Xenopus tropicalis: one gene and its partner. The main gene of each other region encodes a partner of the protein of the gene in region 2 in a complex. Links are inferred from orthologs where the notes say so. Each region holds a gene or a part of one and is shown on either strand. Other genes may lie near its edges.

Region 1 (4,036 bases), about 3.6 Mb from region 2:
TTATACATATGGGAGGGAGGTGCCATATTGTTTCCCTTAGACAGTACAGTATGAGGGTACAGCTTATTGTGTGCCCAGAACATTCCTTCTCTGTATATTTGTATTTATACATATGGGAGGGAGGTGCCATATTGTTTCCCTTAGACAGTACAGTATGAGGGTACAGCTTATTGTGTGCCCAGAACATTCTTTCTCTGTATATTTGTATTTATACATATGGGAGAGAGGTGCCATAGTGTTTCCCTTAGACAGTACAGTATGAGGGTACAGCTTATTGTGTGCCCAGAACATTCCTTCTCTGTACTTGCAGGCAGGGAAGTAGTGAATAAAACTGATCACAAGAGGATGGAATGTATCATGACTCTGCACACAAGCTAAATTTCCATATTATCTCCACTCGAAAATGCAACTTTCCACAGGGAAGAGAGGCTACTGCCAAACATTGGTTTGCTGCAGTGTATTGTGGGCAGGGTTGCCAGATTTATTTTTCCAAACTAGGCAAAGTCAGTTCTTAAACCAGCCCAAAACTAGCCAAAAGCCACTTTGAAAGAAGCCCAAAAATAGCCTAATATGCTTAATGAAAAAAATGTCTAAAAAACATGCCTTTTTTAAAGCATATAATCACTTCCCGTGCCCTGCATAGGTACTAGGATGACTGGTTCCCTGCTCTCTGTGCCCAGTCTATGCAGGTTATAGTAGTTTTGAGGCTTCAGGTTCAGTACAGAGGAACAGAAAAGGGAGCTTCTGTCTATAATTGCATGCTGGGTATTGTAGTTTTATATTAACCTTACCTGTAGGCTAATAGTAAGATCCAAACTACATTACCCAGCATGCACTGGGATAGGCATGTCAGAAATAAAACTTTGGCTAGTTTCCAAACTACAAACCCGCCAAAGCTTCCAAAACTAGGCCACATTTGGTTTATACTTTGGAAACCCGCCTGGGCTTTCAATTAGTAGCCCAATTTAACGGAATACCCGCCAACCTGGCAACCCTGCTTGGCACAGGGAAAAGAGGCTACTGCCGAACATTGGTTCGCCGCGGTGTATTGTGGGATTATACTCGCACCGCTGCCAACTCCATTGGGGAACGCTGCCGCTTCCGGGTCTGCCCCTCCCCTGAGCCTCGTTCACTCATTGGTTCCCGGGAAGAAGCGGAAGTGACGCCAAAGTTCCCAGCTGGGGAAGGAGGTGGGAGTGCGCGCTTCCGGCTGCGTGCAGTTGTGTCAGGCAGCGGGAGGAGGAGGAGGAGGAGGAGGAGGAAGAGGAGAGAGAGAGAGAGGCAGTCACACACCCCGGAGAGCTTACACAGGCGAAGTCTCGGCCATGGATATGGATATGGAGAAGGAGTTTCATGAGGCTGATAGGAAGAACAGCTGGGGGTCTAACTATCAGGTGAGAGCGGCTCTCTGGCTTCCGGGCCCTGACTCTCTGCATGGGGGGGGGGGCATCCTGGGGGCTTATAGCCGGCTGCTTGGGGCTAATCGTGTTGCCTGTCAGGCACGTAACTCCCTTCTAGCGGAATTCCTGCATGTGTGATAGCCTCTGTGCCCTATGGGAATGTACTGACTGCATATACATTACTGTCTGTATAATATATATATATATATGGCTATACCCTCTGTGCCCTATGGGAATGTACTGACTGCATATACATTACTGTCTGTATAATATATATATATATATGGCTATACCCTCTGTGCCCTATGGGAATGTACTGACTGCATATACATTACTGTCTGTATAATATATATATATATATATATATGGCTATACCCTCTGTGCCCTATGGGAATGTACTGACTGCATATACATTACTGTCTGTATAATATATATATATATATATATATATGGCTATACCCTCTGTGCCCTATGGGAATGTACTGACTGCATATACATTACTGTCTGTATAATATATATATATATATATATATATATATATATATATATATATATATATATATATATATATATATAATATGGCTATACCCTCTGTGCCCTATGGGAATGTACTGACTGCATATACATTACTGTCTGTATAATATATATATATATATATGGCTATACCCTCTGTGCCCTATGGGAATGTACTGACTGCATATACATTACTGTCTGTATAATATATATATATATATATATATATATATGGCTATACCCTCTGTGCACTATGGGAATGTACTGTCTGCATATACATTACTGTCTGTATAATATATATATATATATGGCTATATACAGTATACAAGGCTGATATACACAGGCACAAAGCCATGCACGTTTACAGGCAGATTTATCAAATATTCATCATGTTTTTGAATATCGAGGTGCTTTATTATCGGCTTTTGGTATTTAGCATTTGTCTCTCATTGTGCAAAGTTTATACTTTAATGGTAACGGTGATCAAGAATTCTCCAGCAAATTGTGTAATAGGAAGATAAACCCTCTCTGCACATTGGTGTCAATGGCTTTCAGCAGGTTTCAGTTCATGAATGGTTTAGAAATAACCCTTGAGAATAATGATATTGGCCTATGTTTCTTGTGTAGAATTTGCGATTTATACTTATACACAGATATATAATATTTATATCATTTGTGTGTTGGTATATGTATAAAGACAAATAGCCAGGAGCAGCACTTCCTGTAATGTATTTAATATATATTGTACTTGTGTCCAACTTCTTGGTCCTTGTTAGGACCTTCCTATGAATATATACACCCAACCTGTGGCCCCAGACCTGGGTGTCATTCTGTATATGATTAAGCCTGAATACAATCAATTTATAGTTTATAATTAGTACAGGTATGGGACCCGTTATCCAGAATGCTCGGGACCCGGGTTTTTCCGGATAAGAGGTCTTTCTGTAATTTGTATCTCCTACCTTAAGTCTGCTAATAAAGTTATTTAAACAGTAATTAAACCCAATAGGATTGTTTGGCTCCAATAAGGATTAATTATATTTTAGTTGGGATCAAGTACAGGTACTGTTTTATTATTACAGAGAAAAGGGAATCATTTAACCATTAAATAAACCCAATAGGGCTGTTCTGCCCCCAATAAGGGGTAATTATATCTTAGTTGGGATCAAGTACAGGTACTGTTTTATTATTACAGAGAAAAGGGAATCATTTAACCATGAATTAAACCCAATAGGACTGTTCTGCCCCATTAAGGGGTAATTATATCTTAGTTGGGATCAAGTACAAGGTACTGTTTTATTATTACAGAGAAAAAGGAACCATTTTTAAAAATGCAAATTATTTGGTTAAAATGGAGTCTATGGGAAATGGACTTTCTGTAATTCGGAACTGTCTGGATAATGGGTTTCCGGATAAGAGGTCCGATACCTGGCTAACGCAGGAAAGACTTGCCATGCTTAACAAGCCATTTCTGCAGGTGAAATGTGTTTATTTCCTTTCATTGCAGTTATTTCTTCCCTCTTATGGGGTAGAAATCCCAGCATTTTAGTTCAGAGAAGCTTAATAACAATGCTGTTGTTTATTCTAACTTCTAATAATAGTTTTATTTTCCGCTCCTTGGTTCAGCTGAATGTTTGTGCATTCAGGCCCAGAGTATGTACAGTGCCTGTTTCTCTGTACTGTAAGTAAATGGCTGCATGTAACACAGGGCATTCTCACATCTCACTTCCCGTTTTTATTCGTGGGAAATGCCACCTTTCATACCCTGGCATGATTATTGCACAGTTTGGGAATCTGCGTATGCTGTATACTGTCTATCTAATGAACAAATCAAGAGTTACATTTCTGCCTTCTGGGAGACGAATTATAAAATAATACATTGTATCAAGAGTGTCTGTCTTTGCTTGAGTTTATTTAATACACTGAGCAGGGTTGTTGCATTATTGTGATTTTACTCCCAGGCAGTGGTCTCGCTGTGCCGCTTAGCAGAGAACTGTGCTGGTTTAATGATAGGGCTTCTGGACGTCTAATGACAGGTTAATGTCCATCCCCAAAACACTGGCTGCATTACCCTGATTGTATATCCTTGTCAGGTTTGAATTCTTTATTTTAACCTCTTCCTT
Region 2 (4,137 bases):
GCATTCTGATAGACTCAACAGGGATTGAGGCACGTGTGAAGGTGAGCTGGGATTTAGCTGGCTCTAAGGCAACTGTAGCCTCCACCTAGTACAAAACTACAACTCCCATCACCCTCGGGAGTTGTAGCTTTGCACTAGAGGGAGGCCAGAGCATAAATTTTTGGTTGAAAAGACCTGCTGATTTTATCTAAAGGTTATTTGCTAAGATACATTCATGTGTCAGTATATTTGATAAGCCGATGATAACAAAGCCTGGCACACGTTGCCCTTTACCCAGCCTAGCTACATAGGCCCTTCCCAACAACCTAGCATACATACCCCTGTATCAGAAGCCTTTCACTTGTACCAACAGTCTGGTACATATAGCCCTTTACATACAGTGTAGCAAATATACCTCTTTGACTACAGCCTGGCACATGTATCATTGTACTCAGAGCTTGAGAACTCACATACATATACCTACAGCCTGGCACATATACCACTGTACCCACTGCTTGGCACTTATGTACCTATACCTATAGCCTGGCACATATACCACTGTACCCGCTGCTTGGCACTTATGTACCTATACCTTCAGCCTGGCACATATACCACTGTACCCGCTGCTTGGCACTTATGTACCTATACCTTCAGCCTGGCACATATACCACTGTACCTGCTGCTTGGCCCTTATGTACCTATACCTACAGCCTGGCACATATACTACTGTACCCGCTGCTTGGCACTTATGTACCTATACCTTCAGCCTGGCACATATATCACTGTACCTGTTGCTTGGCCCTTATGTACCTATACCTACAGCCTGGCACATATACCACTGTACCCACTGCTTGGCACTTATGTACCTATACCTACAGCCTGGCACATATATCACTGTACCTGTTGCTTGGCCCTTATGTACCTATACCTACAGCCTGGCACATATACCACTGTACCCGCTGCTTGGCACTTATGTACCTATACCTACAGCCTGGTAAACAGCCCCTTCCTTTATCTAAAGCCTGGCACATATACCACTGTACCCACTGCTTGGCACTCATGTACCTATACCTACAGCTAGGGATGCACTGAATTGAATCAGAACACTAAAAATCATGTGCCTTTTTGTCATATAAACACAGAAGTTGAAATTTTTTCAGCGCAACCTGCGCACGAGGCTCGCTTTAACCCTTCCCTATCCTAATTTACATATGCTTGGTATTTGGCCGAATCCTTTACGAAGGACACTGAGTTTGACGGAATCTGAAAATAGTGGGTTTGGTGCATCCTACGTATAACCTAGCACCCTTAGCCCTTTACCTACAACCTGGCACTAACAAGGCGACATTGGAAAGTTATGATCATGGCCCTAAAGCCTCCTGCTTTAAAAGCTGCACAGCAAATGGTTAAAAGGGGGAGGGATACCCATTTGCTTGAGTACATTCATAAACATTTACCCTTGCCATTTGCTAATTGTAGCAATCACATAGTTAAAAAAAAAAACAATGCTGCCAGCTCTGTATGACATTTAATACCAATCTAAATTTAGATATAAACTATAATAATTGTGCAACCCACTGCCATAGTAGCTGTTTGACCATTGTGTGTGTTTATATGCAGAATTGTTCCACATACATACACAGGTACATAGCATAGTTTTGCTCCCCAGAACTACCCATACCTATAGAGCTGGGTTGAATTTTAACTCTCAACTTCAACCAGTAGCAGGATGGCCTTTGGTTTATTATAGAGAGGACTCACAAGTGTACAATCTATGATAACCCACCATGCACGCCTTGTACCCTTCACCACTCCTCCATGCATGCCCTGTACTCTCCAGCCATCCTTTACTCCCTGTACCATTTACCCACACACACCCTGTACCCTCCTGCATTCCCCCATACATGCCCTGTACCCTCCTGCATTCCCCCATACATGCCCTGTACCCTCCTGCATTCCCCCCATACATGCCCTGTATACTATAGCATTCCCCCCATACATGCCCTGTATACTATAGCATTCCCCCCATACATGCCCTGTATACTATAGCATTCCCCCCATACATGCCCTGTATACTATAGCATTCCCCCCATACATGCCCTGTATACTATAGCATTCCCCCCATACATGCCCTGTATACTATAGCATTCCCCCCATACATGCCCTGTATACTATAGCATTCCCCCCATACATGCCCTGTATACTATAGCATTCCCCCCATACATGCCCTGTATACTATAGCATTCCCCCATACATGCCCTGTATACTATAGAATTCCCCCCATCCATGCCCAGCACACCCAATATTGCTAACTAGCCCCTTCACTCCCCAATATTCTCTCAACTCCAGACTTGCCCAGTGACTCCCAGCATGCCCCCATCTCAAAATCATGTGTTAAATGTACGCTAGCTTATTGGCCCAGAAGTTTAACCCCTGATGTTCGCAGGAAACATGCTGCACTTACCCTGACCATTAAAGGGCCTGTGTGCACAACATATACACAGGCATACCCACCGAATACCGGGCCAGAGTGAGATTTAAAGGCCCATATGGTAGCAGTGCTCCAAATACCCCCAAAGGCGTTACATACACCATTCCCAAGCAGCCTATAGCGCCCCCATTCTCTGCACCCGTGGTACTATCCTACGCCCCCTAGCGGCACGGTGCAGCCACTACTTACCTTGTCCTGCCTGAGATATCGGGAGATTCCACTCTCCGGGAACCCCCCTCACACAGAGGGGGGCAAGAGCGCTCTTCTCGTACCCACTATCTCCCGGTGCCTCTCCCCACACATCAGATTCCTCCTGGGCCGGGAAGTTTGGGGATCTACTCAGCGTACGGTTCACGCCCGGCCGGCTCCAGCTCCCTCCTCCCCTCCGCCTGTGCTGCCCTCCCCCGGGTCCGCCTGTCCCTCCTCCCACTGAATCAGCCCTGGCCCAGCCTGTCACTCCCGTTGGGGGGTCTCTGTACTGCCCCAGTGACACCCAGCCTGCTCTCTCACCACAGTCCGGGGCGCTTATTAATTCGGCCTGTCCCTTTTTGTCTTTCCCCTTTGTCCTTCCCCTTTCATTTGCATTATTCCCCTCTCAGATCCCACCTCTAATCCCAACACTTCCCCCTCTCTCCTCCTCCCCTCCCAGAGCTAGCCTGGCTTCCCTTGTCTTCCTTTCTCTCATTCTTCCCTGGTGAGTCGCACCGACTGATTCACTCAACTAGAGGAATTACACAACCCTATACTTCTCCCCATACACCCAGCACCCACCCCTCTAGTACTTCTCCCCATACACCCAGCACCCACCCCTCTAGTACTTCTCCCCATACACCCAGCACCCACCCCTCTAGTACTTCTCCCCATACACCCAGCACCCACCCCTCTAGTACTTCTCCCCATACACCCAGCACCCACCCCTCTAGTACTTCTCCCCATACACCCAGCACCCACCCCTCTAGTACTTCTCCCCATACACCCAGCACCCACCCCTCTAGTACTTCTCCCCATACACCCAGCACCCACCCCTCTAGTACTTCTCCCCATACACCCAGCATTACATTAACATTTATTTATAAAGCGCCCACCCCTCTAGTACTTCTCCCCATACACCCAGCACCCACCTCTCTAGTACTTCTCCCCATACACCCAGCATTACATTAACATTTATTTATAAAGCGCCCACCCCTCTAGTACTTCTCCCCATACACCCAGCACCCACCCCTCTATTACTTCTCCCCATACACCCAGCACCCACCTCTCTAGTACTTCTCCCCATACACCCAGCACCCACCCCTCTAGTACTTCTCCCCATACACCCAGCACCCACCCCTCTAGTACTTCTCCCCATACACCCAGCACCCACCTCTCTAGTACTTCTCCCCATACACCCAGCACCCACCCCTCTAGTACTTCTTCCCATACACCCAGCACCCACCTCTCTAGTACTTCTCCCCATACACCCAGCACCCACCCCTCTAGTACTTCTCCCCATACACCCAGCACCCACCCCTCTAGTACTTCTCCCCATACACCCAGCACCCACCTCTCTAGTACTTCTCCCCATACACCCAGCACCCACCTCTCTAGTACTTCTACCCATACACCCAGCACCCACCCCTCTAGTACTTCTCCCCATACACCCAGCACCCACCTCTCTAGTACTTCTC

What was found. The genes of interacting proteins can lie anywhere in the genome.
Region 1: the proteins of src (region 2) and ptpn1 are in contact, whole or in part, in a crystal structure (PDB 3ZMQ), measured with the Homo sapiens proteins. The link is inferred for Xenopus tropicalis from reciprocal best matches to the Homo sapiens genes SRC and PTPN1. Residues at the interface, in NP_005408.1 of Homo sapiens: Glu527, Gln529, Tyr530, Gln531, Pro532; in NP_002818.1 of Homo sapiens: Arg45, Tyr46, Arg47, Asp48, Val49, Asp181, Phe182, Ser216, Ala217, Gly218, Ile219, Gly220, Arg221, Ser222, Gln262.

Annotation. Positions count from the first base shown.
Region 1 is NC_030686.2:35,908,172-35,912,207, reverse strand, and holds the start of ptpn1 (tyrosine-protein phosphatase non-receptor type 1), read left to right. Parts: upstream 1-1,228; 5' UTR 1,229-1,325; coding exon 1,326-1,394; intron 1,395-4,036. UniProt on the Homo sapiens protein: Tyrosine-protein phosphatase which acts as a regulator of endoplasmic reticulum unfolded protein response. Mediates dephosphorylation of EIF2AK3/PERK; inactivating the protein kinase activity of EIF2AK3/PERK.
Region 2 is NC_030686.2:39,477,119-39,481,255, forward strand, and holds the start of src (proto-oncogene tyrosine-protein kinase Src), read right to left. Parts: upstream 2,822-4,137; 5' UTR 2,660-2,821; intron 2,529-2,659; exon of another isoform or gene 2,453-2,528; coding exon of another isoform or gene 2,444-2,452; intron 1-2,443. UniProt on the Homo sapiens protein: Non-receptor protein tyrosine kinase which is activated following engagement of many different classes of cellular receptors including immune response receptors, integrins and other adhesion receptors, receptor protein tyrosine kinases, G protein-coupled receptors as well as cytokine receptors.